7 linked regions of the Cricetulus griseus genome follow. The protein of the gene in region 5 interacts with the protein of the main gene of each other region in a pairwise test. Links are inferred from orthologs where the notes say so. Each region holds a gene or a part of one and is shown on either strand. Other genes may lie near its edges.

Region 1 (4,300 bases), on a different chromosome or scaffold from region 5:
AGGTCCATCAAGATGTAAATTAGTGAGCTGGAGCGATGGCTCGGCACGAACTAGTCAGGTATGTCTGAAGCAAGTGTTACTAGGAACTCATGTGCACTGAGGGAGGTGTACGGGTATGTGTTGAGGGTAGTGGGAGCAGAGGTCACAGCTGGGAATGCCAAGGCCTGACCAAGTGACACCAGGTGGAGTGAGGCATCATTGATACTCTGGCATGCTTGGCAGTCTTTCACATCCCCATCTTGTCAGGGGAGGGTAGAGCTGTCAGAGGTAAACTGAGTCTCAGAGAGCTTCTCCAGGTCACCTCCCCTTTCTCCAGGTCACGTCCCCTTTCAGATCTCCAGAGTCTGGAAAGAAGAAACTTCCATGAGAAAATATTTCCATGGGAAGGGCCAGTAGGCAAGTTTCAGCTACGTTTTCTTAATTAGTGGTGGATGTGAGAGGGCCAAGCCGATTTCGGGTGATGTCATCCCTGGTCCAGCAAGCCTTGGAGAGCAAGCCAGTAAGCATCATTCCTCTGTGGCCTCTGCTTTAGTTCCTGCCTTGACTTTCCTTTCTGATGGAGTGTAAACTGAAATAAGCCCTTTCTTCCCCAAGTTGTTTTTGGTCATGGGGTTTTATAAGAGCAAGAGAAACCTAAGAAAGACATGGAGCAGAGGGGATTGACCTGTGCCTGGAGCCTGGTAGCAGCAGGTATTAATTAGCTGGGCACAGCCGAAGGGGGAGGGCAGCAGGTCCGTGGTGCCCGCACTGGGACAAAATGAACAGGTTGCACATTGACCTGAGAGCTGGCAACAACCTCCAATAGAGAACATGGAGGCAGAGATGGCTTCAGGATAGGACTGGGAATCCGGGCTGACCTCAAGGGGAGAAGGGCTCTTTCTAGTGCAGAGATTAAAATAAACAGAAAATGTGAGCACTTGATTGCATAATTCCAATTGTATCTAGAATGGGTTTAAAGTGATGTTTAACAATAATTGGTACATAATTGTGCATATTATGACATTTAATAGACATATAGGTCAGCATGGTCACATGAAGGGAATGGCATACCCACAACCTTTGACATCATGTCTTTGTATTGGGATGTTGTACACCAATAACCTCCTAATTCAAACATTTGGTCAGGAGGGAGGCAACTTCAGACTCCGGAAGTAAACAAAACTTACAAGGCTTGTGAAGTTCCTGAAACTTACAAGATTCCCAAGGCTGTTACCCAAGGTTATCTAAGAAGTAACAAAGGCTGGTGGAAGGAGACTCTGAGCCTGCAGGTCATTCTGGGAGCTCCTGGGATGTAGCTCTTGCTTTTAAGATAAATAATAAAGCAATCGATCTTTTCCTTGTAACTGAAAAAATGCAGCCTGCCAGCAAAAGAACTGGCTGAGAAAAGTATCTTGCATGCTTAATCTATAAGAAGTTGCTTGGACATGAATGTGTGTGGGGTTTTGGAGATAATTTGTTTTTCACCTGTAATACATGATATAATCGTGTAAGGGAAATGGGAAACATGCTTTTTTTTTTTTTTTTTCTTTCTTGTATTCACTGCAGTTGTTCACTTGAAAAATAGAATGTCACCACAGTGTAATTTTTATACTGCTTGAAAGATTCTGACTGGGCAAATAAGCTGTAAGGGATATAAATTAAGAATACACAGAAGGGATACATCTGGATAGAGGTAAGAAAAGAAAGAGATAAAAGAGAGATATGATAGAAAGACTCTAAAGGGTGTGTGTGTGTGTTTGTGTGTGTGTGTGTGTTTTCCTTTTTCGCCAGCCCCAGGGAGTTAAGTTTGCCCCAATGACCAGCCCCCCAAAATTAAGTTTTACATCCTCAGATAGAAAAGTCAATTGTGTGATTAGTCTGCTCGATTTCATGGCTCCCCCTCAAATCCTGAGCTGCTGAAGGCTGGTCCTCATGGCAGCAACACAGCATGGAAACAGAAACAGATCCGGTTTTTTGTTTTGTTTTGTTTTTTGTTTTGGCATATTCAATTACCAATGTCAACCATAGTGTCTGTTGGGTTCCTGAATGTTCAGAGTTCTTCTATGCAACTGTACCTGTCAACCACCCCCTCCCCGTCCCTGTCCTTCCCTGATGCTCACTCCTGTCCCTTGGTAATCGTTCTACTTTCTGTTCTAGTGACCTGGAGTTTTTAGCTTCCACATGTATGAGTGGGTGTGCAGTGTTTGTTTTTCTGTGTCTGACACCTCACTTTATGGAATGCATTTGGGTTGATGTTTTGCTGTGGCTAGTTCCCGGATATGAGTGTCTTTTATAAGAATACAGACTTGACTGCAGGGTCATGGGTGGGGCTCAGGCATACGTGTTTTAAAAGAATGATCCCAGGATACTTATTATTGCATAGAGATACCTCCTGCCGATGGATGTCTGAGATTTCAAGATAGCAAGGTGTACTGGCTTGCTTTTCCGTTGCTGTGATAAAACACTGGCCAAAATCATCTTGGGAAGGAAAGGATTTATTTGGCTTACACTTCCAGGTTACAAACTGTCAGTAAGTGAAGTCAGGGCAGGAACTCTAGGGAGGTGCTCAAATAAACTCTGGAGAGGAATGCTGCTTGCTGACTCACTCTCTGACCCAGGCTCAGGCTCGGGCTCATGTTTATGTTTAGCTATCTTTCTATAGCATCCTTCATTCATCTGCCTAGGGATGGTACCACCCACAGTGGGCTAGGCCCTCTCACTTTAATCAACCAATCTGATTCAGGCAGTCCCTCAGTTGATGTTCCCTCTTTCCAGTTGAGTGTAGGTTGTATCAAATTGACAGCCAGGACAGAGGGTGAAGCCAATTTTTGGTCGGCTTGATAGTGTTTCTCAAATTATGCTGTGGTTCTACTCCATCAAACCTTGAGAGAAAATTTGTTTGAGGGTGGTAGGGTTCCACATATCATAACTTGTCTTTCTTTTCTCTGGTCCAGTGGGACTCCTGGGTGTCAATGAGCGTGCTTGGCTTAGAGTCATATGAATGTCACCTGCCTTACTTCCTTCTCTGACCCTGGGATACAGAAAATCCATCAGCAGGTATGCGTTAGCCTTCTTGCTATGTATCTAGTGACCATACACTTTGTGGCATAAAACCCTTCGCTATCTTATGTTCCCACAGTTGTGGAGTTCAGGCATGGCTTAGCTGGACCTGTTCCACAGGCCATAATGTGGCCATCAGCCAGGCTGGCTCTTAGATGGAGCTTGGAGCTCCTCCAGTGTTCCTGGTTGTTGGCAGAATCCACTTCCTTCTGGTTATACAACTTCTTATTTGTGATGGACTGTAGGTCTATAGGTCTGTAGGTCATTGGCAGTCTGCTATTACATGGCAGATGTGTCTGAGACCAATACAGACAGGCATTTTCTTTCTGTATCTCTCTGGGTAGCCCTTGCATTCATATAAGGTAGCTGAATGAAGAAAGTGATGTCCTGTCCTCTCTACAGAATGGCTGTGTATTAACCTGCTTAGGCTGCCACGACAAACTACCTTAGACCAGTCTGATTATTATATCTTTTTTTTTTTTTTTCACTTTAAAGGTGTGGGTAAGGGGGCCTAATCACTCTTCCAAGGTCCTGGTTGATAGGTTATCCAATTCCAAGTGGTCAACACTAAATACATGTACATATGAACAGTACTAAATGGATTGGGTTTGTGTGTGTATGTCTAATAATTAAAAAAGGTCATGAATTTGATAGTCAGTGGGGGAGAGGGGACATGGGAGAAGTTAGAGGGAGGTCAAAATGATGGAAATACAGTACTCATATATGAAATTCTCAGAAAAAGAAATGAAGTTAATTCGGGCAGTGGTGGTACACACCTTTAATCCCAGGACTCAGGAGGCAGAGGCAAGTGGATCTCTGTGAGTTCAAGGCCAGCCTGGTCTACAAAGTGAGTTCCAGAACAGCCTCCAAAACCACAGAGAAACCCTATCTGGAAAAACCAAAACCAAAACCAACGCCCCCCCCCCAAAAAAAAAACAAACAAAAAAAATGAAGTTAAAAACAATTCACAACCTCCCCAAACTGCACCAGGCTGGTATTCAAGCATTTCAACACATGAGCTTGTGAGGGACAATTTCATAGTTAATTTATAAAATTGTCACATCATAGCTATTGCTGCCTTATGCCATTTCAGAGTCTTAGGCTCAGCCAGTGAGGACCGGTTGGTGAACAATGAGCAACCTTCTTCCCAGGAAAGCAAATGCCTTTCTGGAAGCTCCCAGAAGATCATAGCTTAGCTTTCATGCATGTCAGGTAGAGATTTCGGTATATCCACAGACACTGACTTTGTTTCAGCAGAAAA
Region 2 (4,528 bases), on a different chromosome or scaffold from region 5:
TTTATCATTATCAGTGTTTGATTTGTACAAATTTTATACACCTATATAGTTAGGGGTTGGGTAACCATTTTTCAGGCAAACAGGGGCCATGAGTGGAAAGTTCAAGAGGCCTTGACATAAGGCTACGCTGTTTTTGCCCAGCTTCTGAGAGGCATGGAGGTCACAGCTCAAGCATAGTTAACACTTTGGAATAGGATACAGTTATTCGAGTAGACTAAAATTTTTTTTTAAATATCATTTTTATTGGGGTGGGAGGGACTTATGTGGAAACCAGAGGGCAACTTATGGAAGTTGGTTCTCTCCTTCCACCATGTTGGGTGTGGAAATGGAGCTCAGTTTGTCAGGCTTGCCCGCAAGGGTCTTTACCTGTTGAGCCATATCGTTATCCACTCTTCTATTTCTTAAAGTGCCTTTGTCCTTTCAACTTTCTGGTAGATCATAGGCCTCTTCATTTTTCTATAACTCTGTCCGTCAACTGTGGATTTAATTTTGACTTTATTTTGCTCTTTAACAAGGTGAGTCACAATGCCTGAGTTTAATATAATTCTGTTGACAAACTTGTACCCAGCCCAGGCTAAGCAAAGTGTTTTACGGGTATTGCCTTACTTAGCTTATCATTAATAAACGTCTATTAGAATCTGTGGGTCGGGTAGGGGCTTCCTGGAATTTGACTTAACATGCGGCCACCCTTTCTTGGAGAGAGGCCGAAGGAAAGAAGGAATAGAGTTGAGCAGCTGGCAGTAGGAAGGGCAAGGCCGCCTCCCTCTTCCTGGCAGCTGTCTTACCAGGCCTGAACTCCTTTTTCCCAAAGGCAGGCAGGGGTCTCCACCTCTGGCCCAGGTCCAGTCGCTGGGAGGGTGGGTAGCTTTTTCCGAGTCACTGACACACCCTCTCCATCTTAGCCACCTGCCCCGGTTCCATCCCAGTTCCAGGCTCCCTGGAGGGACTCAGGGACATTCCAATCCTCCCACTACCCTCTCAGACGCCGCGGGAGGAGGGAAGGGGGCGCAATTGCTTGGCTCTTCTAGAACTCAGCGTTGTCTGTTTTTTTTTTTTTTTTCTTTCAACCCCAAGTATCCTGGATTCACCCGGTAGAGCAAACTAACTATTGATGAAAGGCTTGAAGGCTGGTAGTTTACAACCGATTCTTTGGCAAAGCCGCATCTTCAGCAACAGTGGCACTTTTTGGACACCGTCTACGCTCTTGCAGACAATTGAAAGCCAAACCGCCAAGTTGCCTCCTCACCAGACCAAATATGGTCACAAGCGCTAAGCAGCCTTCCGTGGAAAGTCTGGCCTCGCGGGTGTCTCCCTGCGCCAGGGTGCGCCCCGGCCCGACCTCGGGCAGATCCGCGCCCCGTGCCGCGATCTCGATGCGGGGGCGCTCCCGTCAAGGCGAGGGCACAGCGCCCTGGACCGACCCTTTCTGGCCCCTGGCCCCTCGACAACGACTACGTGCCCTCCGTTATCCTCAGGCTTGGATTTTGTCCATAACCCCTTGATTTAACAAGCTTGAGCCATTTTCTCTTTGATCCCGCCCCAAGTCAGTGGTAAACTCAAAGGAATGCAGATAGAGCGCTCGGCGGGAGAGGTCGGCGCGGCGGGGCGGGGGCACGGTCTCACTCGCCGCGAAGTGCCCAGCCCACCCCGCCCGCCCGCCCGCCAGCCCGACCGACCGACCCGGGTGGGAGGAGGAGGAAGAGGAGGGGCAGGCTGACTCCGGCCAGGAGGTCATGCATAATTCAACAGCTCCACTTTCGGCCCGCCTCTTTCCTAGGGGTGGGAGTTTGCTGCAAACTTTGTTTATGGGACAGTCCGGGAGCCTTGGCCGCTGCTCTCGTCTGCTGCTTCTCCGTCGCCTCCTCGCTCAGTGCGAGCGCCCGGGGCTAGCTCCGGGGATGTAAGAGTCCAAACTTTCGGCTGCTAGGAATTCGCTCAGGATCTGCCAGACGGGACCGGGTTCCAGCTCGCTAGCTCGGGAGGCTCCCAGGCTCGGCTTCCCCGCGTGCCCAGGTAGCACCCGCCGCGCCCCGCACCCTCCCGGGCGCCGGGCTCTTCGGCGTCCGCGGTCCCGGCGCCTGGGATCGGCGGTGGGTGTATTGCTCAGGGGAGGCTGCGACCGGGCCTGATGCAGGCACCCTTCCACCTCCCACCGCTGCCTGCTCAAGGGAGCTTCTTAGCTGCGGGAAAGTTGCATAATCTCGGAGGCCAGGGGCGCCCCCTCCCCCCACCGCTGGTCCCTCGACCGGTACCTAACTGTCTCTGCGTTTTTTTTTTTTCTGTCCTTCCCCTGCACAATCTCCTCTGACTTCAACTAAAAGGATGAACTGATCTTCCTTTTCCCTTGCAGAAAGATGAATCCGTCCTCGGTCCCTCCTGGGCTCCCGCCGCCAGGGCAGCAAGTCATCCACGTCACGCAGGACCTCGACACGGACCTCGAAGCCCTCTTCAACTCTGTCATGAACCCCAAGCCCAGCTCTTGGCGGAAAAAGATCCTGCCGGAATCCTTCTTCAAGGAGCCGGATTCTGGCTCGCACTCGCGCCAGTCCAGCACCGACTCATCGGGCGGCCACCCCGGGCCTCGACTGGCAGGCGGCGCGCAGCACGTCCGCTCGCACTCGTCGCCCGCATCCCTGCAGCTAGGCACTGGTGCGGGCGCCGCTGGGGGCCCTGCACAACAGCACGCGCATCTCCGTCAGCAATCCTATGACGTGACCGACGAGCTGCCACTGCCCCCCGGGTGGGAGATGACCTTCACGGCCACTGGCCAGAGATACTTCCTCAAGTAAGTCAGCCGGCAGCCAAGAGGGGCACAACTGTGATGCCCAGGACGCTGTCGCTTTCGTGGTGTGTGCGTGCGTGTGTGTTTGACTGAGACTCTTCCAAGGTTCTTCAGAGAATTGCAAAGTTGGGAAACTAGGGAGTGAGTCTCTGGGAGTTGGACTTGACTAGAAGCAGGGAGCAGCTTTTGTGATCTTAGACACTTAATTCCCTCCTTTAACTAGTTCAGAGCCAGGTCTATTAGCATAAGATAACAGGAACTTTGGGAGACCTTGGAAGCGGTGGGTCTGCCATGAGTAGGTCGTCTGGGTGCTTCAAACAGTCAGGAAAAGCAAGCCGGAAAAGAGCACAGTGCCTAGTGGGTTTACCTCTCCCAGCTGGTGATGTAATGACCACACAGCACAGTGATGTAATTACCAACTGCATTGTAAAGTAGTTATGGGCTGGACCAACAAATTGTGTGGAAATTGGGTCAGGAGTCTTATTATGTTACACTTGGTAACCTATAATACCATCACATTAGGAGTGTGCATTGTCATCGGTCGTGTCACATTGGTCTGGCTTCTTCATGTAGTGAATTTTACATTAGACTCAGTTTTTGGATTAGGTTGTACAGGAAAAATATATTTTCAAATGCTAGAGGAGGTTGGCATTCCTGAGGAAAGAAACAGGCTGGAACTGGAATTGTTATCAGAACCAGTGAGATCATAGGGGTCAGGCTAGCAAAGGCCTATTTGGAAGTTGTAGCTGAACCACTTGGTGCAGAATCACTTCTTGGCTAATCTTCACTGCCAAAAGGAAAAGTGCCTACGAACATGTCTTGAAGTTCATCATAGAGCTGTATCTCTTTGTTGAAGTAGCCTTGTTTCAAAGGTTCAAATGTAAGGTAGCATGTACTATTTTAAAAGTTTAACCAAACTCCTTTTTGGCATTTATCTTTGATACTTCGATTGTTGAGGCCCTAAGAATGAGCATATGGTGGTGGATGAATTTATTATGGGCAAGTCTGAGACTCATACGGGTTGTCATTTCTTCCTTCCCCATCCCAAAGCTGCTGATATTTTGTTTATATTAAGATTTATTTTGCTGGGCAGTGGTGGCACACAACTTTAATCCTAGCACCAGGGAGGCAGAGACAGACAGAAGTCTGTGAGTCTGAGGCCAGCCTGGTCTACAAATTGAGTTCTAGGACAGCCAGACCTATTACTCAGAGAAACCCTGTCTTGAAAAACAAAAACAAGAAAAGATTTATTATATTATTTTCTGTGTATGTGTGTGTGCCTGGGGATATGTGTATGTACCACATACATGAAGTGCCCATGGAGGCCAGAAGAGGGTATTTAATTCCTGGGAACTGGCAGTGTGAGCTGCAACTCCCCTAATTGGGGATTAGGTTGCTAGGAACTGAACTCCAGTCCTCTGCAAGAGCATCAAATGGTCTTGACCACTGAGCTATCCCTCTAGCCTCTTCTTGGGAATACTTTTAATTATTTTTATCTTTGTTTTGGGGGTTGGTGTGATGGTGATGTCCTGAAGCCAACTCAGCAGTCTTTTATCACAGTCGGTGTCTGGATTACTGAGCCATGGTATAGATGTGTGCTCAGTGCTTTGGTTTCTAAATAGTGTTAAAGTCAGGTACATGATGTAATAGCATGGTATTTTTCTAAGTTTACAAAGTGCACGCATGTTCAAAATATCATCATGTATTAAGTTCACTTAGGTAAATGCAGCTGTACATATTTCACCA
Region 3 (3,795 bases), on a different chromosome or scaffold from region 5:
TTGTTTTTTCATGGCATATATATGTGTGTGTATGTATATGTATTATGTATTATATATACATATATATGTATATATATATTATATATATGTATGTATATCAATGTAGAGCTCATCGTTTTTGACAAACAATCATCACAAAGAATGAGGCAGACTTTGAAAATGTTGATAGAAGAAACAACACGTCAGCAGAGCATGATCCGGGACCTCATAGAGACCAACCAGCAGCTTAAGTAAGACAGCGGGCTTGTTTGCATGCATTCTAAGCACAACTCCCTGGGGAGGATCCTGAAATGTCTTCATTGTACTTATTTTTTTTTTAAAGATTTTATTTATTTATTATGTATACAACATTCTGCTTCAATGTATATCTGCACACCAGAAGAGGGCACCAGATCTCATAACGGATGGTTGTGAGCCACCATGTGGTTGCTGGGAATTGAACTCAGGACCTCTGGAAGAGCAGTCAGTGCTCTTAACCTCTGAGCCATCTCTCCAGCCCCTCATTGTACTTTTTTAAAATTTATTTTATTTCTGTCAACAATGTACATAATGTACCATGTGGGTACTTGAATCCAGAGTTCAGAAGAGTACATCAGATCCCCTGGAACTAGAGTTATGAATGATTGTGAACCACCATGTAGGGGTTGGGAACTGAACCTGGGTCCTCTGGAAAAGTAGCTAATGCTCTTATCTGCTGAACCATCTCTCTAGCCCCCTGAAATTTCATTTTTATTAAATGTAAAGCAAAATTGCTTTTACAAATAAATGGGCAAAAATTAAGTAAACGACTTTCAGTAGAACTTAGCATCAATATGTAATGGTACCCTCTATCCTATTTACTTTCTCTTATAGATGAGATTGGGTATGTCAGGAAGCATGGTTATACTCCTGTTACAAGATAGAAGTGTTGAGGCTGGGGTACAGCTCAGTACTAATTATGCTAATCTTTGATTTTCAGCAATAAAAAAGGTAAAAAATGTTAAGAATGTAGAGATATTTTGGAAAGTAGTCTGTTATATGTCATGTACAATCTGATTTATTTTAACACTGAGGGAAGGAAGTGTCTCTCTTGATTAGAAGTGAACTTCAGCTGGAACAGAACCGAGCAACACACCAGGAACAGCGAGCCAATGACCTGGAGCAGATTATGGACAGTGTGAAATCCAAAATTGGTGAATTAGAAGATCAGTCCATAAGCAGAGTTTTTCAGCAACAACAAAGAATGCAAGATCTTCAAAAAGAGCATAAAGTATTACAGGTATTGTATTGACATATCTTTTCTTATTTGATGGTTAATATTGAAAGTTCTTCATAGTCCCAGGTAATTTCCATGTCACTTCCAGGGTGTATGTATGTCTGTGGCTAAGGTCAAGGAAATCCAAATGCTTGAAGTGTGTGTAAAGATTGTTAAAGGAAAGCAGTTTACATTGGCATAGGTTAATAATGTTAATAGGTGATCTTTTCTACTTAGCACCTCATTTTGAGATTCATCTATGAGGCTGCATGTTATAGTTTCATGAATATCCCTAAAAGATGCATGTGTGTATCTATATGAGTATATGCCACATATGTATGGGTATCTTTGGAGGCCAGAAGAGGGTGCTAGGTCCCCTGGAACTGGGGTAGTAACAACAGGAGCTTGTGAGCTTCAGATGTGGATGCTGGGAACTGAATCCACATCTTTTGGAAGAGCCGGAAGTGCTCTTAACCACTGAGTCCTTTGGCATCTCATACTGCACTGTTGCATAGCTCATTGAGCCTGCACAGGGATTTCCCTACACTTGTAAATGTCTAGCAGTCTACCTGATAGCAACCATAGTGCCATGTTTAGAGACATAGTGTCCTGTATATATGTGACAATTTCTGAATAGATCTCATATTGCCCTGCAATGAGGTCAGATTTCATTGTAAATGCCTCATAATCTCCATGTACATCCCATAATGAATATTGTAGAAAGTCATAGTTATCTACAAAGAAATCCTAGTACAATATTTTTTATAATGTCATAATACCTTGTTGCCCGTATTAAGCATATATTCCCATGTACACAGCTCATAGTGCTTTAATGTAGCCCATAATGCTCTGCTTCGAGTTTATGGTGTTCTATATAGATCTCATAGTGTACCTGTATGTGGGGCATTTTCTTAACTACTGATTGATGTGGGAGACCCCATCCCATTATGGGTAAGGCCACCCTTGGGCAGGTGATCCTAGGTAAGAAACCAGGCTGGAAGCCGGGTGGTGGTGGCACACGCCTTTAATCCCAGCACTCAGCAGGCAGAGGCAGGCAGATCTCTGTGAGTTTGAGGCTAGCCTGGTCTACAAATCTAGTTCCAGGACAGGCTCCAAACTACACAGAGAAACTCTGTCTCGAAAAACAAAAAAACAAAAAAACAAAACAAAAAACAAAAAACCAGGAAGAAACCAGGTTGGGTCTCGAAAAACAATAAAAACAAAACAAAACAAAAAACAAAAAGCCAGGAAGAAACCAGGTTGGGCCAGCCATGGGGACAAGCTAGTAAGCAGAACCCCTACATGACCTCTGCATCAGTTCCTATCTGCAGGTTCCTGCCCTATTTGATTTCCTGTCCTGACTTCCTTCAATGATAGATTGTGATGTGAGACTATGAGTCAAATAAACCCTTTCCTCTTCAACTTGTTTTTGGTCATGATGTTTTATCACAACAATAGTTACCCCAACTAAGACAATAGAGCTTATTGAATCCTATATAGATCTCATAATTCACTGCTGGAGCTTTGAGTGCCCTATATAAAGTGCATAGTGCCATGTAGAACCCATAGTGCACTTCTATTGAGTATATTGTGTGCTCCAGCTTGAGTTCATATTACAACTGTATGAAGTTCAGAGTATACCTTTTTTAATATCCATACTACCTTATTTAGCCATCATAGGACATGTGGAGAGCTCCTGAGGTTCTCTGTAGAACTCATAGTTCACTTTTGTAGAACTCCAAGTTCAGACCTCATCTTGTACATAAAGAATTTTTAGTATTCTTTTTTGGTTTGGTTTGGTTTGGTTTTTTTCGAGACAGGGTTTCTCTGTGTAACTTTGGAGCCTGTCCTGGAACTCGCTCTGTAGACCAGGCTAGCTTCAAACTCAGAGATCTATCTATGTCTGCCTCCCAAATGCTGGGACTAAGGGTGTGCCTCACCACTGCCTGGCAGAATTCTCTTTATAGTCTTTAAAGATCATTATAGATCTCATAGTACTCTGTATGGAACTAGGACAGCCTTTTTCAAAGTGCCTTGTGTATTTCTCAGTGTGAACTTGTTTAGAGCTCCATGCCATGATAGTGACTTGTGTACATTTTACAGTGTATCTCCACTGAGTTCACATCACACATGAATAGAACTCATAAAGCACTTGTTTAGACTTCATATTCCCAAGTACATACCTTGAAGTGCACACACAACCACCCCTCTGTGTGTGTTTGACAGTTATATTGAACTCACAGTGTATCTGTGTAACTCACAATGTCCTTTATGAAGCTCATCATGCACCTCTGTATAGCTTAAGGTGCTCTTGATTAAAGGACATAATGATATCCGTGAGCTCACAGTGTCCTTTATGGACTCCAGGTACCCTAACAGAGTACTCAGTGCCTATTTTATAGAGCTCACAGTGACCTGAATAGAGCTCACAGTGCACATGATTTAGAGCCCATACTGAAGTAGTACAGATCATAATACACGTTTATATAAGCTTGTAATGTTCTGCACAGACTTCACAGTCTCATCTGTATAGCTCATAGTGCACTTACACACAGCTTACA
Region 4 (3,795 bases), on a different chromosome or scaffold from region 5:
TGTATGATTGGTCAGTGATAGAGTAACTGATTAGCCTATACAAGAACTTGAGTTTGGTTCCCAGCTTTGTAAAAAAAATATTATTAATTAAAAACAAAAACAGGGCTGGAGAGATGGCTTAGCAGTTCAGAGCACAGGCTGCTCTTCCAGAGGATTCAGGTTTGATTCCCAGTTACCCACATGGTGGCTCACAACTATCCATAATTTATGCTTGTGGTGATTAGACATATGTGTAGGCAAAACAACAATACACATATAATAAACAACATTTTAAAAATATTAAACAAAACCAAAAAACAAACACCAGACGGTGGTGGCGCACGCCTTTAATCCCAGCACTTGGGAAGCAGAGGCAGGCAGATCTCTGTGAGCTTGAGACCAGCCTGGTCTACAAGAGCTAGTTCGAGGACAGGCTCTGAAGTTACACAGAGAAACCCTATCTCAAAAAACAAAGCAAAACAAAAAAACCAACCCTGAAGGCTATGACTGATGGTGTGGACTTTTGGTCTCCCAGGCTGCATTAGGAAGATCATCTAAGCACAGGAGGTTGAAGCCAGCTATGATAACATAGTGTGACCCCACCTTAAAAACAAAACAAAGTCAGGCAGTCATGGTGCACACTGGAGGCAGACTCAGGCAGATCTCTGAGTTTAAAGCCAGCCTGGACTAGAGAGGGACATCCAGGGCTACACAGAGAAACCCTGTCTAGAAAAACCAAACAGACACACAGAAACCTAAGACCACAGGCTTAGAAAAGCCTTGGGAAACATCAGTGTGGTTGGGAAAAAGAGATGTCACTGTGAAATCACTGGGGCCGTTGGTGTTGTGCCAGCTGTTTCTTTAGCCTGCCAGGTCCAGACTCAGCTCTCTTTATCTGTAGTACAACAAGGACCTAACCAAAGAGCGAGATGCCCTCAAGCTGGAGCTGTACAAGAACAAGTAAGAATGGGAAGGAGGTTGGGCTTCCTGCAGCTTTAGTGTGGGAAATTGAGGCTCAGAGGAGACAGGTTTAGCCTTGTGTAGATCTATGCGCTAGTCCCAGCCATACTTGTGACTCATGGTATGATCTGTCACTTGTGTCTGTGACTTTGTAGCAAGGCTCATAAGTTGCTCTAAAATGTGGTCCTTTCTGTTCTTGGTTCTTTCTTTTCTGCATTACCTCTGGCCATAGCAAAAATAATGAGGACCTGAAGCAGCAGAACTCAGAACTGGAAGAGAAACTTCGAGTCTTAGTGGCAGAGAAAGCAGCTGCACAGTCAGGGGTGGAGGACCTGCAGAAGAAGCTGGAAATGTCGGAGCTGCTGCTGCAGCAGGTGAGAGGTGCAGCTCATACCCCTAAGGCCCAGGCACACAGTCTCAGCATCCTTGGTGGTGACCTGTAGCCAAGCACTGGAGAGTTTGAAGCCTCCTCCTGGTCCTGCTGTAGACCTGACCTATATAGTCATAATCTTAGTGGTTGTGATATGGCTGTTAAAGTTTTCTTTTTTGATTTATCCTGGTTGAAAAACCATCTTTTTTGTTACTTTATTTATTGATTGATTTTGAGACAAAGTCTTATCAGTAGCCAGGTTGACCTGTAACTCACTAGGCAACCAGACTAGTCTTGAACTCATGGTAATCTTTCTACCTTAGCCTTCCAAGTGCTGAGGTTGCAGGTGTGACCCACTGTGCCTAGCTGAAAAGCCATCATTCTGCTTCATTTAAATGACACACGCAAGAGGCTGTTCACCACCTCCTGGCACTTTTCTCACATGGCATCTGAGCTTCTCATATGAGTTATCCATTAATCTGGCTCACTCTTGTGGGAAGCACTGTGGTGGATGAAACCTTCATTTTCCTTTTACAGTTCTCAAGCCAATCTGAGGCCTCTGATAGTAACCAGCAGTTACAACATGCCATGGAGGAGCGGGCTCAGCTGGAGACCCATGTAGGCCAGGTGAGGAGGATGTGTTGGGGGAGAGGATGGCATGACCCCAGGTGGCCAAGGGCCGGTGAGAACCAGTGATAGCCCTTTGTAACTTGTGTGTTGACTGATGCAGTTGATGGAGTCTCTGAAACAGCTCCAGATGGAGAGAGACCAGTATGCAGAAAACCTGAAAGGAGAAAGTGCCATGTGGCAGCAGAGGGTACAGCAAATGGCAGAGCAGGTGAGGCCTGGCCCCTGGTGTCTTTGCTCTTCCTGAGCATCAGTGGGGCGCAGCTGAGGGGTTAGGGGCTTCAGTTTTATGGAGGTGGGACTGGGAATGGATGGTGCCCGGGATCCCCAGCTCTTTCCCTCTGCCTTTGGGCAGGTGCACACTCTGAAGGAGGAGAAGGAACACAGAGAAAGTCAGGTACAAGAGCTGGAGACCAGCTTGGCCGAACTCAGAAGTCAGATGGGTGAGTAGGGCAAGAGTGACCTGAGAGCAGGAGTGGGTCCAAAGGCCATTAAGGTGGCTTCCATTGCCTTGGGGTGGCAGGTGGGTGCAAGGGCATTGTAGCAGAGGGCAAGGGGTCTCTGCCAGGAGGTAGCAAATCTTGTCATCCCTCTGAGCATGTGTCCCTCTGTGCAAAGCAGGGTGCCATGGCTACTGCTACCCCCTGCAGGTGACTTAGTATCACTTAACTGTACTAGACTGGTTTGAAATGCTTACCTCCTCTCAGACCCTGACAGACAAGAAGCCAAGGCTTGGGGCAGGGGGCCTGACTTGAGCTCACAATGGAGCCTATCTGAGAAGCCAAGGGCGGTTCCCCTCACTGCCTGCTTCCTTTCTTAGAGGAGCCGCCACCCCCACCGCCCCCAGCTGGACCCTCTGAGGTGGAACAGCGGCTGCAGGGAGAGGTTGAACAACTGCAGAAGGAACTGGAGAATCTGACAGAACAGCTGAGGGCCCAGGTGCAGGATAATGAGAGCCTGAGCCACCTGAACCGGGAGCAGGAGGAGCGGCTGCTGGAGCTGGAGCGGGCAGCAGAGCGCTGGAGTGAGCAGACTGAGGAGCGCAAGCAGATCCTGGAGAGCATGCAGAGTGACCGCACCACCATCAGCAGAGCGCTGTCACAGAACCGCGAGCTAAAGGAGCAGTTGGCTGAGCTGCAAAACGGCTTCGTCAGGCTGGTGCGTGCGCAGCCTGCAGGCCTCCTTACCCAAGGGATGGGGTGCTGTCCACCTCACATGAAATGGTAGTGGTGTGGGCACCCAGCAAGCCAGAGCTCTGGGGCTTGTAGGAATGATCCAGAAGCCTTCCTTGCTCTGTGGGAGGAGGTGCATATGCAGGTCTGGGCACCCTAGCCACTTTAGGTCCTACTGACGGCTGCTTTCTGTCCAGACCAACGAGAACATGGAGATCACCAGTGCACTGCAGTCAGAGCAGCATGTCAAGAAAGAGCTGGCCAAGAAGCTGGGAGAGCTGCAGGAGAGGCTGGGGGAGCTGAAGGAGACGGTAAGACCTACTGCATGTGGTGCCAGCCACTGGATTTGGAGAGGGGAAATGCAAGGCCCATCACAGATTAGCTGCAGCCTGGGAGCAGGCTTGCAAGTCAGCCTATGACTGTTGTATTAGAGATGGTTATCCCTGGACTGCTCTTCGTCTGGGTCAAGACCAGAAGGTGAGTCTTTATAGTTAGAGGTTATACAAGGCTCTGGGTTCAGGCTGGATTCACATCCATTTGTTCACATGCTTCCTATCACCAAACCTGATTACTGATCTTAAAAGATGAGTTTCCTCATACAAGTGTTGAACATTAACTGAGAAAATGTCCATAGACTATTGGGCACTAGTGGTTTGTGCAGAACAATATAGATTGGTTCCGTCAGCT
Region 5 (4,544 bases):
TGCAAAATCCTCAAAAAATTAAAGTGAAGGTCAGGGGATGGAGCCCACTGACAGAGGGTTTATTGAGCATGCTTGAGTAGTTCTATCTTTAGCACTACCAATAAATAATAATAATAATAATAATAATAATAATAATGTGATCCTGGTCGGGCATTGGTGGTGCACGTCTTTAATCCCAGCAGAGGCAGGGGGATCTCTGTGAGTTCGAGGCCAGCCTGGTCTCCAGAGCGAGTGCCAGGACAGCCTCGAAAGCTACACAGTGAAACCCTGTCTCGAAAAACCAATAATAATAATAATAATAATAATAATAATAATAATAATAGTGTGATCCACTAATCCTGCTTCTTGGCACACACCCAAAAGAACTGAAAGCAGGAACTCCAAAAGACATCTGTACACGAATGTTCATAGCAGCGCTATTCACAACAGCCAAAAAAAGGAGAGTTCCTGCTTTCATCCCTCCATGAGTACAGAATGAGGTGTGGGTATACGATGGACTGCTATTAGCACTAAAAAGGAAGGTAACCCTATCACAGGCTGTGACATGGATGGGCGCTGATATTATATTAAGTAAAACAAGCCAGTCACAGAAAAAAAGACAGTGAGTACGGGTACACACATAGAAGGTGATGCACATTCTTACAGATAAGGTGCCATGAAGGTTGCCAGGGGTTGGGGGAGGGAGGGCTGTTGTCTAACAGATACAGGCTGTTCAGCTCTTAAGCTCCAAACTTGGGGTGCAAAATCTGAACTCTTCAACAGGCCTGGCAGCCCTAAAGATGAAGATTAATATCTGACAGTGATTAATTAACCTTCTAATGCATAATGCCCCATTAATTTTGGTGTTGGACTTCATTTTCTCCGTGGGCCTAACATAAGCACAGCTCATACACTCTGAGCTGGGCCTAGGGCAACATGAAGAGGAGGGCTAGCCCCGTATCACCTTTCATGATGGCCCCACCCCCACCACGTGCCAGAGGAGGTAGTCTTTGGGCCCTGCCTCTCTTCAACATTGCCCTTCCCTACACTGCAAAGTTGGGACCAAGACAGCCCAGAAGAACAGGCCTGGGCGAACTAGAGACCATCTGTGCCAGACTGCCCCATGGGAGAGGTTTTCTGAGGACCTGCACTCCATGTTCCCAAGATTGGGACTGTCCCAGAGAAAGTGGGGCAGCAGGTCACACAAGGCCCTAGGACATGGGATTCATTACTGCAGTGAGCTGTCCCTGGCCCTGTGTGGCTGTGGTGCTCCTGGTCCCTGGTCGTGACTGGCTGGCCACTCCTACCCTTCCTTACTAGGCAAACTGCCCACACAAGCCTGCCCTGTGGCCAGAAAAATGGGGTAAGTCAGCCTCAGCTCAGAGATGTTCCTCCTGCTCCTCCCCCAAGTGACCCTCCAGGGGAGTGGTGGGGTGGGAAACAGATGGCACCGCTGCCCAGACCATGTGCTATGGCCAGAGATATAAAAATAATCCCTGACTTGGCTCTCAGGCCCAGCCTGGAGGCTTCTAGCTCTCTCTGCCCCACCCAAAAGCCACCAGATGTCCTACTTGAGACAACCAGGCCCAAAGAACACTGCACTCTACACCAAGGCCCACAGGTGCTGGCCGTAGGGGACATTTGAGAAGATTCAGGAACTGGGATTGTGTCTGGATCTTCCTAAGGCTCAGAACCCTACGCTCTTCCAGAAACAGAAGAGTGAAGATCCGCAAGTGATTCACAGAGAAGCCACGGCTGCGGGGCACCGTTTGGGTAGAGAGGAGTGTGGCTTGACTGAGAAGGCAACCAAATCCGACTGCTGGGGGCTGGGGTTGCAGCTGTGCCGTAGAACATTTGCCAGCCCAGCCCTCGGACCCTGAGACCTCTCGGTGTCTGGTCCATCTCCCACACAACCTCACTCCCCCAGCCACCAAAGCACACAGTACACAATGTTGCTGTGACAGGCTGGGCCTAGGCTGTCTCACTTGAGCTTGCCTGTTCCCCCAACTGGAGAACACGATTATCACCCAGACATTAGTGTCTGTCCTGTTGCTGGATGGGTGCAGGTAGGAACGCAGGCAGGCAGGCAGCATTACCGTTAATGAGTTGACGCTGCCAAAGGCTCCCTTTGTTTCAGGCCAGGACAAATAACACTACTATTTCACAACAGAGATGTTCTTCCACATACAATGGGATACCATTCTGGTAAACTTACTAGTCAGTTAATAATACCCTAATGCAGAAGGGAAAGGTGATGCATGCCTGTATCTGAGATTCCAGACGCTGAGGCAGGAGGATCATGAGATTGAGAGCATTTCAGTAACCTTCATACTGACTTCCACAGTGGCTGCGACAAGCTCCGCTTCTACCAACAGTGAAGAGCCGTTCCCATGTCCACACCCTCACCAGCACCTACAGTCCTCTGACTTTTGGATGACAGCCTTTCTGAGTGGGGTGAGACGCACTCTCAAAGCAGTTTTAATTTCTATTTCCCTGGTAGTTACTGACATAAAACATTTTTCTCAGATTTTATGTTATGTCTAGCAGTGTTATGCCTGGATGTATGGTATGTGTATAACATGTGTGTCCGGTCCCTGCAAAGGTCAGAAAAGGATGGTGGAGCCACAGAACCAGAATAACAGGTGGTTGTGAGCTGCCATGTGGGTGTCAGGAACTGAACCCAGACCCTCGGCAAGAGCGGCCAGTGCTCTTAACTGCTGAGCCACCTCTCCAGTCCTTCAATGGGATATGCTGTTTTTTAAACTAGAGTACTGACATTAGGGTTTCACTGTGTAGCCCTGGCTAGCCTAAAACTCTCTATGTAGATCAGGCTGGCCTCAAACGCATAATGATCTTCTTGCCTTGATGCCCAACGGCTGGCTAAATGAAAGGCTTGCGCCTGTGCACTCTGCCGACATACTTTTACACTATGGCTCTGTATATCCCATGAAATATACTTTTAATTACCTGCGTCAAAGCAATGCTGGCAACCCCATGACCATGTGGCTGGTTGGGCACTCTGGCTCACTGCTGCTGCCCCACACGGCAAAAACATACTGTTTATCATTAGCTGGGAAAACAGTAAAATTTCTACTGAATGTGCATCACTTCCACACTGTAATACAGAAAGATCACAAGTTGACCTTCGTACACTGGGAGCTGTCTGTGCAGATAACTCATGGGGATGTCAATATGTCATCTGTAACCAACTCCCACGGTCCCCAATCCAAACAGGACGTGATAGAAATTGAAACTCAAAATGTTTACAAGACATGCCTGGTGTTACACAGAAATGACGAAAGAAGTCGGGCCACTCTGAACACAAGGACAGAAACGGTTCCCTCTCCAGGCACTGACTCTAAGAGCTTTGGAGGTGTAGGTCAAAGGTCCAGTCTCACCAAGACCACCCTCATTGCCTGTGGGCTGTGATATTGGTTGGTGACTAGAACAGCCTCTGCATTGCAGTGACCGACCTGTGACTGAAGCTAGGAGGGAAAAGAAAACCTGAGGTTTCCTTCCGGGAGATCCACCCTAACCTAAGGACATATGAGGTGACACAGTGGCTACAGTCATTCACGGTGGGGACAAGTTGGGAATCCCCTTCAGCACAGGGATTCTCCAGGCTGGCAGAACTCCCAATGTGGTTTGATGACCCAGAAAAGAGATAACAAATCTGAACCCCAGATACTCTGCCCTGATCTAATCCTGCTGTGGCCACAGAGACACTGTTTAGGACAGGCCTGGCCCCACCTAGTACAATGGCTCCTGGCTATGACCTAGCCCTGGCTATTCCTACCAGACTGGGCTGTAGAGAGACTGAGCCCACGCCACAGTCCACACTCACCCACAGGTATGACAAAAACTATAAAGCACAAGGACAAGAAGGCCCTGGAAACATCCAAAGAGCAGGGTAGGGAGGGGCTATGAGCCCGCCCTACTCTGACCTCATCTCCAAAAGGAAAGAAAATTAGGCAACGCATGCTGACTCACACCTGTAATTCCAGCACTCTGGAGGCAGAGGCAGGAAGATCACAAGTTCAAAGCCAGCCTGGGGCTACGTAGTGTGTTCCAGGTCACCCACAGATACAGAGTGAGACCATGTCTCATAAGTAAACAAACAAATAAATAATTGGCTGGGCATTAGTGGCAAATGTCTTTAATCCCAACATTCAGATGACAGATGCAGGTGGATCTCTGTGAGTTCAAGGCCAGCCTGGTCTACAAAGAGAGGTCCAGGAAAGCCAAAGCTACATGCAGAGAAACCCTGTCTTGGAAAAAAAAATAAAAAATTAACCAACATAGTGATGAGTGGTGCAGGTTGGTAACCCCAGCACTGAGGAAGCTGAAGCAGGAGCGCTGCCACAGGTTCAAAAGCAGGGTAGGCTACGGTATAAGATCCAATCCACCACCACCCCAAAACAGGCTGATGGCATGCCCACCTGGCACCTAGCATGCACAAGGCTCTAGAATCAGTCCACCCCTTTCAGGAGGGAGGGAAGAAAGAGGGGAGAGAAAATCCAGGCTTGTTTCAGACCCAACTCCACAACCCAGGTCTCCTCTTCCCC
Region 6 (3,795 bases), on a different chromosome or scaffold from region 5:
ACTGTGTTCAGGGAACCTCTGTGCAGAGGTGAGCTGCAGCCTCACTGTGTGCAGGCTGATCCCTGAGCAGAAGTGAGCTGCAGCCTCACTGTGTGCAGACTGATCTCTGAGCAGAGGTGAGCTGCAGCCTCACTGTGTGCAGGCTGATCCCTGAGCAGAGGTGAGCTGCAGCCTCACTGTGTGCAGGCTGATCTCTGAGCAGAGGTGAGCTGCAGCCTCACTGTGTGCAGACTGATCTCTGAGCAGAGGTGAGCTGCAGCCTCACTGTGTTCAGGGAACCTCTGTGCAGAGGTGAGCTGCAGCCTCATTGTGTTCAGGGTGACCTCTGTGCAGAGGTGAGCTGCAGCCTCACTGTGTGCAGGCTGATCTCTGAGCAGAGGTGAGCTGCAGCCTCACTGTGTTCAGGGTGACCTCTGTGCAGAGGTGAGCTGCAGCCTCACTGTGTGCAGGCTGATCTCTGAGCAGAGGTGAGCTGCAGCCTCACTGTGTTCAGGGTGACCTCTGTGCAGAGGTGAGCTGCAGCCTCACTGTGTGCAGGCTGATCTCTGTGCAGAGGTGAGCTGCAGCCTCACTGTGCAGGCTGATCTCTGTGCTGCTAGGACTTCATCCAAGTGAAACATTATTTTCTGTTTTTAATCTCTGCCCACCTGTGTGTTCAGGTGCTGGCAATCAAACCCAGAACCCAACCCATACTAGCCTACAACTCAATAAGGAACTGTCCCCTCTGGCCCCCAAATCAACTTAATTGTTTATTTACTGAAATCATAGTGGACTCATAGGAGGACCTTGCATGTAAAAACTAATTTTGTGAGAGTGTAATAATGCCATGTTTTTGTAAATTCATGAGTTTAGGTATTGACCATTTTTTAAGCTAGATTCTTCTATTTGCAGAATATGTAACAGAGACACCAGTTAATTTGTTCTTTCTCAAATCCTACTCCAAATTGCCATGATTAATCCTGGTTGGCTGTCTTCCTTGTGTCTGGTGTTTTAACATGTGTCCTGTTCTTTCCCTTATCTAAAAACCAGGTTCTGATCCAGACAATCTTACAGTGCACTCACGGCCACGGCAAAAGAAGCCACACAGTGTGACTAATGGGGCACCAGCTTGCACATCAAAACTGGCTAAGTCTCTTCCTGCTTCACCCTCTACTTCAGACATTTGCCAGACACGTTCCTGTGTGTCTGAACACAGGTATTTGTTTTTAAATGACTTTTTACACACTGAAAATGGTTAGCATGGCACTGCTTTGTTGTTACACATGGTTTTTTTTTGACAGTAGAGGCTTTGGAGAGAAATGAGATTCTGTCTGTACAGAGATTCCCAGTTGGGGGTGGGGCGCTCTGTGCTAGGTAATGAAGTCTAGTGGAGAACAAGGGAGCACCTGGCTTACTTTACATTTAAAGTATAGACTCGGGAGCCAGCCATGGTGGTGCACAGCTTTCATGCCAGAACTCAGGAAACAGAGGCGAGTAAATCTCTCCAGTCTGAGGCAAGTGTAGTGCCCATAGTCAATTCTAAGTCAGTCAGGGCTACATAATGAGACCCTGCCTTAAAACCTGAGAGACAGAGCCAACACATTTCAGGAATCACTTAAAAATCTTAGCACTGTAATTGTATTGAAGGATGCCATTTTGATAGTTTTCCAGAGTACATAGTTTGAGTTTCTTTGGGTGCCATTACACTGGTATTGAAAGGCAAAGAGCCAAGAAAAGCCACTTCCTCAGGGTGATAACGAAGGTTCCATTCCATTTATAAAATTCCATTCCATTCCATTTTCTGAAACAATTTAATCTGTATTTTTAGGTTAGTAATCTTGTAAGAGCTACAGAGCAAATATTAGGAGGAGGGGGAGAAAACCATGAGCTTTAAAAGACTAGTACTCCGCTCTTCTCTGCGAAAATAGTGTGGTGTCAGTGCCGTGAGCCAGGAGAGCCAGGTAGAAGACACCGCTGGAGCTAAGATGAGAGCTCATGTCCATTTGGCGCTGGGTCCTAATGTGAACACAGAGCCAGCAAGTCATCCCCTGGTGGGTTAACTGTGGGAAGTGGACATTGATCTGCACTGTGACCATCTTGCTGCTCAGAGTCTGTACCTGATGTGGGTAGATGGAATTCTCAAATAGGGCCAGTTGTGAGTGTGCCCTCTCACTTCCTAAGTGGTTTCCCAAGACGCTTGTGTTGTCAGCACAGACCCGGAGCGTCAGACTTAAGGTGTTCAGGGACATCTGCTCTTAACCACAGCAAGGGGCAGACAATTAGTTATTAAGATTTACCTTGTTTTCCAGGAGTTCAACCAATGTGCTGAATATAGCTCCTGAAGAAACTAAAGCAAATGAGATTGGAAGAGAATGCACAAATCAGAAATGGAGTGTGATGTCAAGACCTGGTTCACGGGAAGGCTGCTACAGTGGCTGCTCCTCAACGTACACGAGTTCTCACCTGGAAAGAGACACCTTACCTTAGACACACAGACTGCAGGGTTCTCATGAAAGCGTGCATCTGAGGTCGCGTCCGAGTTAAACAGGGTGTATCATAAAGTCAGTCATCTAATTTAAGATGGTCTGGGTTGTTTGTCTGGACTTCGCGTCTTCCCCCAAAGAACTGCAATGTGAGCTATTGAAAAGGATGCAAAAGCTTTGGGAGTGTGGTAGTTAGTGACAGAGCGGCTGGGTCTGTGACGAGAGGATGTGTGGTGTTTGGATGAGACAGAGGCAAGAGTGGGCTTCCTCTCCAGGTATTGAAAATAGCACTTTCAGGGGACCGATTATTGTAAACATTCAGTTTTTGTCCCAATGTGGTTGGCACCGGAAGTTTAGCCTTCACTTGAATGTATACTGTAGATTTTTAACAAAGCAAGTTCTATATTTATTATGTTTAGTGTGATTTGGGATTACCTCTTTCATATGTTTTACATAAAGTGAAATTTATGTATGTTCTGTACATAGAGATATACATGATTATGTTAAGAGGCTTTAAGGTTTAAAAATTTCACACAACGCTTGAGTGTAGTGTTTCATGCCAATAAAATGTTTTCAGAGGCATTGTGTTTACAGATGCGTTAGGGCAACTGCCACATGGCATTTAAGATTTTATTTTAAGCCATCTGGGCAATAGAAATTCAAAGCCACTCTGTGAAAGCTGAGTTGAGATAACTAGAACTACTAACATTACATTTTCGAGATTTTTAAAGCATTATATTTTATTTTATATATGTGAATGTTATAATTTCTAAGAGGAATATTGATTATGGAGTAATGGGGGAAAGACAGAAAGTATCTTTGAATAACAATATGAGGGCATTGGTTTAAGATATTTGGATGATAAAAGATAATTTAAGATAGCTGGATGGTGATATTTTCCTTACCAAATGGGTTGTCAGTACAGGAATATCTGTACCAGCCAGGACTTTATATCATTGCCAATAATTTTATAATTAAAAAATTTTCAACTAGATACTACTACTAAAGAAATAAGACAATGTAAAAACATTGACTTTTGTAATTGAGATATGACATTCTGGACGCCCTTGTGTCATTTCGTTTTCAGAACAATCTTAGGCTCTTTTGTCTCTGGTGTCTCTGCTGCATGTCTCTTCATGAGAAGTATGTTACTATTGATAGTAATGACAATGATAATACATGTAGACTAGGCCCAGGCTTCTCCTGGATGGATTTTCATCCAAAAGCTTTTAAGTGCCTCCCCTGCTTGTCTCTGCACATAGAAGCCTGCACAAGTCCTTGCCCAACGATGCAGGTTAGTCTGGTCTGCCTTCCTCTTTCCTTGCCACTGTTG
Region 7 (4,461 bases), on a different chromosome or scaffold from region 5:
TGGGGCTACGAGAGCTCGGTTCATCACAGGATTCTCGATAGAGCAGAAACAAGCAACTTTTAGGTTCTACTCAATGCTATCCAATGCACTGGGTATTTTACTTAAGCTAATGGGTAAACATCTTCATGGCTCAAACTTAAAAAACAAAACAGTGGAATGTAAAAAATGAATTAATAAAAAATACAACTCCTTGCTGGGGTATATCCCTGAAAGACATAGAGTATGTGGCTCAAGGGGGACACTGAAGCGGATTGTTGGGAGTAAGAAATTACTAGAATTATTAACGCCAAGTGCGGAAGGAACACAGCACCGCATACTCTCAGAATTTCAGGCCCCGGCGCCATAGGGAGCAGGCCTGGGGGTGGGGTCGGGGGAGGGGGATTCTGAGAACGAGGCTCAAGTGGCAGAATCCGGGTCCTTAGAGGGTCTCTTAGGAACCTGCAGCTAGGCTGATTCCTCACCAGGTGGCAGGGAAGAGGGCAGGGAGGTGTGTCGCCATCTAGCCCTTTTGGCACGTCTGGTCTGGCAACCTGGCTTGGTGAAGTGAGAAATTTGGGCACTTAGGGAGCCTGTTAAGAAGATAGGGACTCAAAAGCGGGCTCTCCGTGGGATGGCTCCGTGGGATGCTAGGGGGAACGGGGAGGACTTCAGTAGGTTTCAGGGTCTGATGATCAGCGCCCTGGTCCGGATTCTAACAATCTCCACCTCACATCAGAAGAAAAGAAGGCTCGGGACGGTAAACCCACTTACTTCACGGTGGAAGTAGACCTGGGCTTCTCAGTTTCTGCCCTTCAGAAAAGTTGCTGCTAATTCAATCTTTTTCTAGCAATTGGTAATCGCCTGGAGCTGGGTGTGTTTCAGAGTGCTTCACACACAGGGAGGGGCTTATCGGGCCTCCCCGCCCGGCTTCGCAGCACTTATACAAAGCCATCAGACTTTTAAAGGAGCCGAGGCCTAGGCACTAAGAGGAAGCCCAACAAAAGACTACGGTCCCGCAGACCCCACGGCCGGGGCACCCTGCGCACACGGCGCTGGGCCGCCACCACCACCGATCCCCAGGCTGGGTGCCGGGTCTCCCTCCGGCTCTGGGGACTCCAGGACAGCGCTGAGAAAACCCGCCTTCTGGCCGGGAGGAGAGTGGCGCGCGAAGCCAGGCCCCGCCCCCGGTCCACCTCTTCCGCTCGGCCCTGAGGAGTCTGCGCGGCCCGGGGATTCGTTCCGACGGGGCCACGTTGCCCTGTGAGCCAGTCCGCGGCCCCCGGCTCCCGGCACCCCTCTGCTCGGCCCCCTGCCGGGCTCCGGGACCCAGGCCTTCCCTCCCTGTCGGCGGGGTGCAGCTGTGCGGGGATTGACGTGGCCGCCCGAGAGCTCCGCACGCGTCTGGGATCCCGGCCTCGGAGGCCCCGCCCCGCTCCGGAGCGGAGAAGCCGAGCGAGCGCGCCGGGCTCCGCTAGAGCTCGGCTCCGTGCTCATGCCCTGCGGCCCAGTGGGCCCGCGCCATGGCCTCCGGGAGCGTGGCCGAGTGCCTGCAGCAGGAGACCACCTGCCCCGTGTGTCTTCAGTACTTCGTGGAGCCCATGATGCTCGACTGCGGCCACAACATCTGTTGCGCTTGCCTGGCCCGCTGCTGGGGTGCCGCGGAGACTAACGTGTCGTGCCCGCAGTGCCGGGAGACCTTCCCGCAGCGCCACATGCGGCCCAACCGGCACCTGGCCAACGTGACCCAGCTGGTGAAGCAGCTGCGCACGGAGCGGCCGTCGGGGCCCGGCGGCGAGATGGGCGTGTGCGAGAAGCACCGCGAGCCTCTGAAGCTGTACTGTGAGCAGGACCAGATGCCCATCTGCGTGGTGTGCGACCGCTCGCGGGAGCACCGTGGCCACAGCGTGCTGCCGCTGGAGGAGGCGGTGGAGGGCTTTAAGGTAGGGCCGGGCCGGCGGACAAAGGGGCGAGCCGGGGGCTTCCCGGCCTGCCGCCGAGAAAATGGCGAGCCGGACGTGGGGCCCAGCGCCGTCATTTCCTCCTTGTCGGCTGCGGGGCCTCCGCACTCAGACTCGGAAGGAGAACCTGTAGCTGGCGAGGCCAGATGCGTCCCCACCCCCATCCCTTCTCCCAGCACCCCCTGTTAACTGCCTCAACGCGTGCGGGGCAGGGACCGGCGCGAGGAGACCCTCCCTTTGACAAAGGAGATGCACATCGAGCCCTGTCCACTTTGGTAGGCCTTGGAGACCTCGAACTCATCTGGCCCGGGATATCAGACTAAACAGTTGCTGTTTGCTGGCTGAGTTCACATCAAGCAATGCCTATCACTTAATCTATGTCCCCAGCACTTCCCTGTAACCTGTTCTAGAAGCTAATGGAAATGAACACAGTTCTTTACTACTTGAGTAAATCATTTAGCCACTCTGAGACTCGGGAGATAACCGTTGTTATGAAGAGTAAGTGAACTCACAAGACCTGAAGAGGCCTTTGTGAACTGTTGAATAAACACTGGCACGGCTACACAGTAATGCAAAAATGTTACTTATAAAGGAGCTCTAAAGTGACAATGAGTCTATTTTGAGGGCTGCAGAGATAATACACACATAAACAGAATTGTATTTGTTTAAATGTGAGTTCATCCAAATGTCAGTTCCATTTACAGAGCTGTATCAGTTCACTCACTGGTGATGAGTCGTAGTTTGGAGAAGTGATGTTTACTGATTCTGTGTGTGAGGAAAATAAATAAATAATTTTCTCTGTATTCCTCCGAAGAAGAGGTACACCTTAGCTTTTGAGCCTCCTTACCCAGATGTCTCATAACTTCTGCAGAACCCATCTAGGAATTGGTAGGTGGCTCAGAGTTTAAAACAAATCACTAAAGCAGAGCTGTGCTGGCCCCTGTGCTTTGGGCTCTTCCCCGGAGTGGCATTGTGGTCTGAGGACAGTGCAGCCGGGCCTTGGCACCTCTAGTTTGGGTTCCCGTGTGATACACAGAGTAACTATTCTGATGCTGGAATCTGCATGATCTTCAACTGCCCAACTGTTTGCTTTCTTCAGGAACAAATCCAGAATCGGCTGGACCATCTAAGAAGAGTGAAAGACTTGAAGAAGAGACGCCGGGCACAGGGGGAGCAAGCCAGAGCTGAGCTCTTGGTAAGGGTCCAGATCTCCACCCTGCAGAGGCCTTGCATCTGGGCAGTAAACTTTTGAACTACTAGCAGTCTCTGGTAATCCTTGAGAAGTCTCAGTCTTGGCCAGGGTGCAGTGAGAAACTTCCAAACAGCACATGATGTCTGTCAGTCCCACCACTTAGCTCTGCCATGTAGGGCTGAATGAGACCTTGTCACCCCTTGCTTGAAAATAGGATGAAGGAAACTTCTCAATGATCCTGAGTAAACTGAAATTACACATAGAACAATGTCAGGTCTCTGGGAGGTTTTGTCCAGAGAGAGACAGCCTCTAGGAATCCAGAACCTTGGATTTTCTTTTTGGCTCTGACACTTAGCCAGTTTAAATGGAGAGGTGGTACAGCCTCTCTGGGCCTTCATTTCTTTGTGAAACAGAGAGGTCAGATGAAACCTGTGGTTCTCCAGCAGGCCAGTGCTGCCCTTTCTGCCCTTGAAATGGTAAATGGCTTGTTTTGGGCGGAGTCAAAGACTGAGTGGGGATGTGGGACAAGGTTGATAAGTGTTTTACAGCAAGAAACAGACCTATGCCAGGCAAATTGTTCCTGTAGGGGTGTTAGTCACACCCTTTAGGAAACATGATCGTTAAGGTTTCTTTTAGTTTTAATTTTGTACATCTAAGATTACATTGTATGCTTTATGCCTTTGAAAGACTTACCCAGCTGAGAAGAGGTATGAGCTTATCGAAAGGGTCTATAAACCAAAGGGGGGGTGGGTGCGTGCGTGTGCGTGCCTAAGTGCTTGATAGAAGATGCCTGATAAGTGCCTAAGAAGATTGGCTAGAGGTGTGATGGGGGAGCACTTGAAACAGCTGAGTTCAGATCAGGTTTGACAAACTTTCTAAAAAGGGCCAGTAGTATTTTTAAACTTTGTGGGTTTACACAAACAGCCCAGTTACTATATCTCAAAAGCATCCATGTCTAATACATAAGTGAATGGATGTGGCTGGATTCAAGGACAATATTTCTTGACTGTTCTAGAGCCATTTGCTTATTTCTTTAGAGATAATTTCACTATGTAGGCCAGAGATGTTTTGAACTCTCAATATTCCTTGCTCAGTCTCTCCAGGTACAGGGATTACAGGTATGCACTGGCACACTTATAATTCTTTTGTTAGAACTCTTGGTTTTTTTTTTTTTTTTTTTTGAGATGATCTTGAATTTATTATACAGCTAAAGATGACCTTGACGTTCCAATCTTCCCATCTCTACCTTCCAAGTGCTAGGAATACAGGCATGCACTAGTATACTTGCCTCTACAACTTCTTGGCAATGGAGACATTGGGTGGAGAAGGAAA

Evidence for each region.
Region 1: the proteins of Tead4 (region 5) and Mtus2 interact in binary tests that used the Homo sapiens proteins (3 or more experiments, as listed by UniProt). The link is inferred for Cricetulus griseus from reciprocal best matches to the Homo sapiens genes TEAD4 and MTUS2.
Region 2: the proteins of Tead4 (region 5) and Wwtr1 interact in binary tests that used the Homo sapiens proteins (3 or more experiments, as listed by UniProt). The two-hybrid records come from large-scale screens. The link is inferred for Cricetulus griseus from reciprocal best matches to the Homo sapiens genes TEAD4 and WWTR1.
Region 3: the proteins of Tead4 (region 5) and Cep70 interact in a two-hybrid assay, tested with the Homo sapiens proteins (2 studies listed by BioGRID). The two-hybrid records come from large-scale screens. The link is inferred for Cricetulus griseus from reciprocal best matches to the Homo sapiens genes TEAD4 and CEP70.
Region 4: the proteins of Tead4 (region 5) and Golga2 interact in binary tests that used the Homo sapiens proteins (3 or more experiments, as listed by UniProt). The two-hybrid records come from large-scale screens. The link is inferred for Cricetulus griseus from reciprocal best matches to the Homo sapiens genes TEAD4 and GOLGA2.
Region 6: the proteins of Tead4 (region 5) and Ssx2ip interact in a two-hybrid assay, tested with the Homo sapiens proteins (2 studies listed by BioGRID). The two-hybrid records come from large-scale screens. The link is inferred for Cricetulus griseus from reciprocal best matches to the Homo sapiens genes TEAD4 and SSX2IP.
Region 7: the proteins of Tead4 (region 5) and Trim27 interact in binary tests that used the Homo sapiens proteins (3 or more experiments, as listed by UniProt). The two-hybrid records come from large-scale screens. The link is inferred for Cricetulus griseus from reciprocal best matches to the Homo sapiens genes TEAD4 and TRIM27.

Annotation. Positions count from the first base shown.
Region 1 is NC_048597.1:83,800,652-83,804,951, forward strand, and holds the start of Mtus2 (microtubule-associated tumor suppressor candidate 2), read left to right. Parts: upstream 1-1,303; 5' UTR 1,304-1,672; intron 1,673-2,933; 5' UTR 2,934-3,036; intron 3,037-4,300. UniProt on the Homo sapiens protein: Binds microtubules. Together with MAPRE1 may target the microtubule depolymerase KIF2C to the plus-end of microtubules. May regulate the dynamics of microtubules at their growing distal tip.
Region 2 is NW_023276806.1:93,867,990-93,872,517, forward strand, and holds the start of Wwtr1 (WW domain-containing transcription regulator protein 1), read left to right. Parts: upstream 1-1,718; 5' UTR 1,719-1,733; coding exon 1,734-1,900; exon of another isoform or gene 1,901-2,013; intron 2,014-2,350; coding exon 2,351-2,785; intron 2,786-4,528. UniProt on the Homo sapiens protein: Transcriptional coactivator which acts as a downstream regulatory target in the Hippo signaling pathway that plays a pivotal role in organ size control and tumor suppression by restricting proliferation and promoting apoptosis.
Region 3 is NC_048597.1:207,691,781-207,695,575, forward strand, and holds part of Cep70 (centrosomal protein of 70 kDa), read left to right. Parts: intron 1-106; coding exon 107-230; intron 231-1,077; coding exon 1,078-1,258; intron 1,259-3,795.
Region 4 is NC_048599.1:144,035,671-144,039,465, forward strand, and holds part of Golga2 (golgin subfamily A member 2), read left to right. Parts: intron 1-880; coding exon 881-939; intron 940-1,171; coding exon 1,172-1,313; intron 1,314-1,846; coding exon 1,847-1,936; intron 1,937-2,039; coding exon 2,040-2,147; intron 2,148-2,291; coding exon 2,292-2,379; intron 2,380-2,756; coding exon 2,757-3,094; intron 3,095-3,305; coding exon 3,306-3,419; intron 3,420-3,795. UniProt on the Homo sapiens protein: Peripheral membrane component of the cis-Golgi stack that acts as a membrane skeleton that maintains the structure of the Golgi apparatus, and as a vesicle thether that facilitates vesicle fusion to the Golgi membrane.
Region 5 is NC_048601.1:18,130,229-18,134,772, reverse strand, and holds the start of Tead4 (transcriptional enhancer factor TEF-3), read right to left. Parts: upstream 3,050-4,544; 5' UTR 3,047-3,049; coding exon 2,947-3,046; intron 1-2,946. UniProt on the Homo sapiens protein: Transcription factor which plays a key role in the Hippo signaling pathway, a pathway involved in organ size control and tumor suppression by restricting proliferation and promoting apoptosis.
Region 6 is NW_023276806.1:12,729,735-12,733,529, reverse strand, and holds part of Ssx2ip (afadin- and alpha-actinin-binding protein), read left to right. Parts: intron 1-1,029; coding exon 1,030-1,195; intron 1,196-2,288; coding exon 2,289-2,466; 3' UTR 2,467-3,795. UniProt on the Homo sapiens protein: Belongs to an adhesion system, which plays a role in the organization of homotypic, interneuronal and heterotypic cell-cell adherens junctions (AJs).
Region 7 is NC_048596.1:243,527,633-243,532,093, forward strand, and holds the start of Trim27 (zinc finger protein RFP), read left to right. Parts: upstream 1-1,499; coding exon 1,500-1,919; intron 1,920-3,036; coding exon 3,037-3,132; intron 3,133-4,461. UniProt on the Homo sapiens protein: E3 ubiquitin-protein ligase that mediates ubiquitination of various substrates and thereby plays a role in diffent processes including proliferation, innate immunity, apoptosis, immune response or autophagy.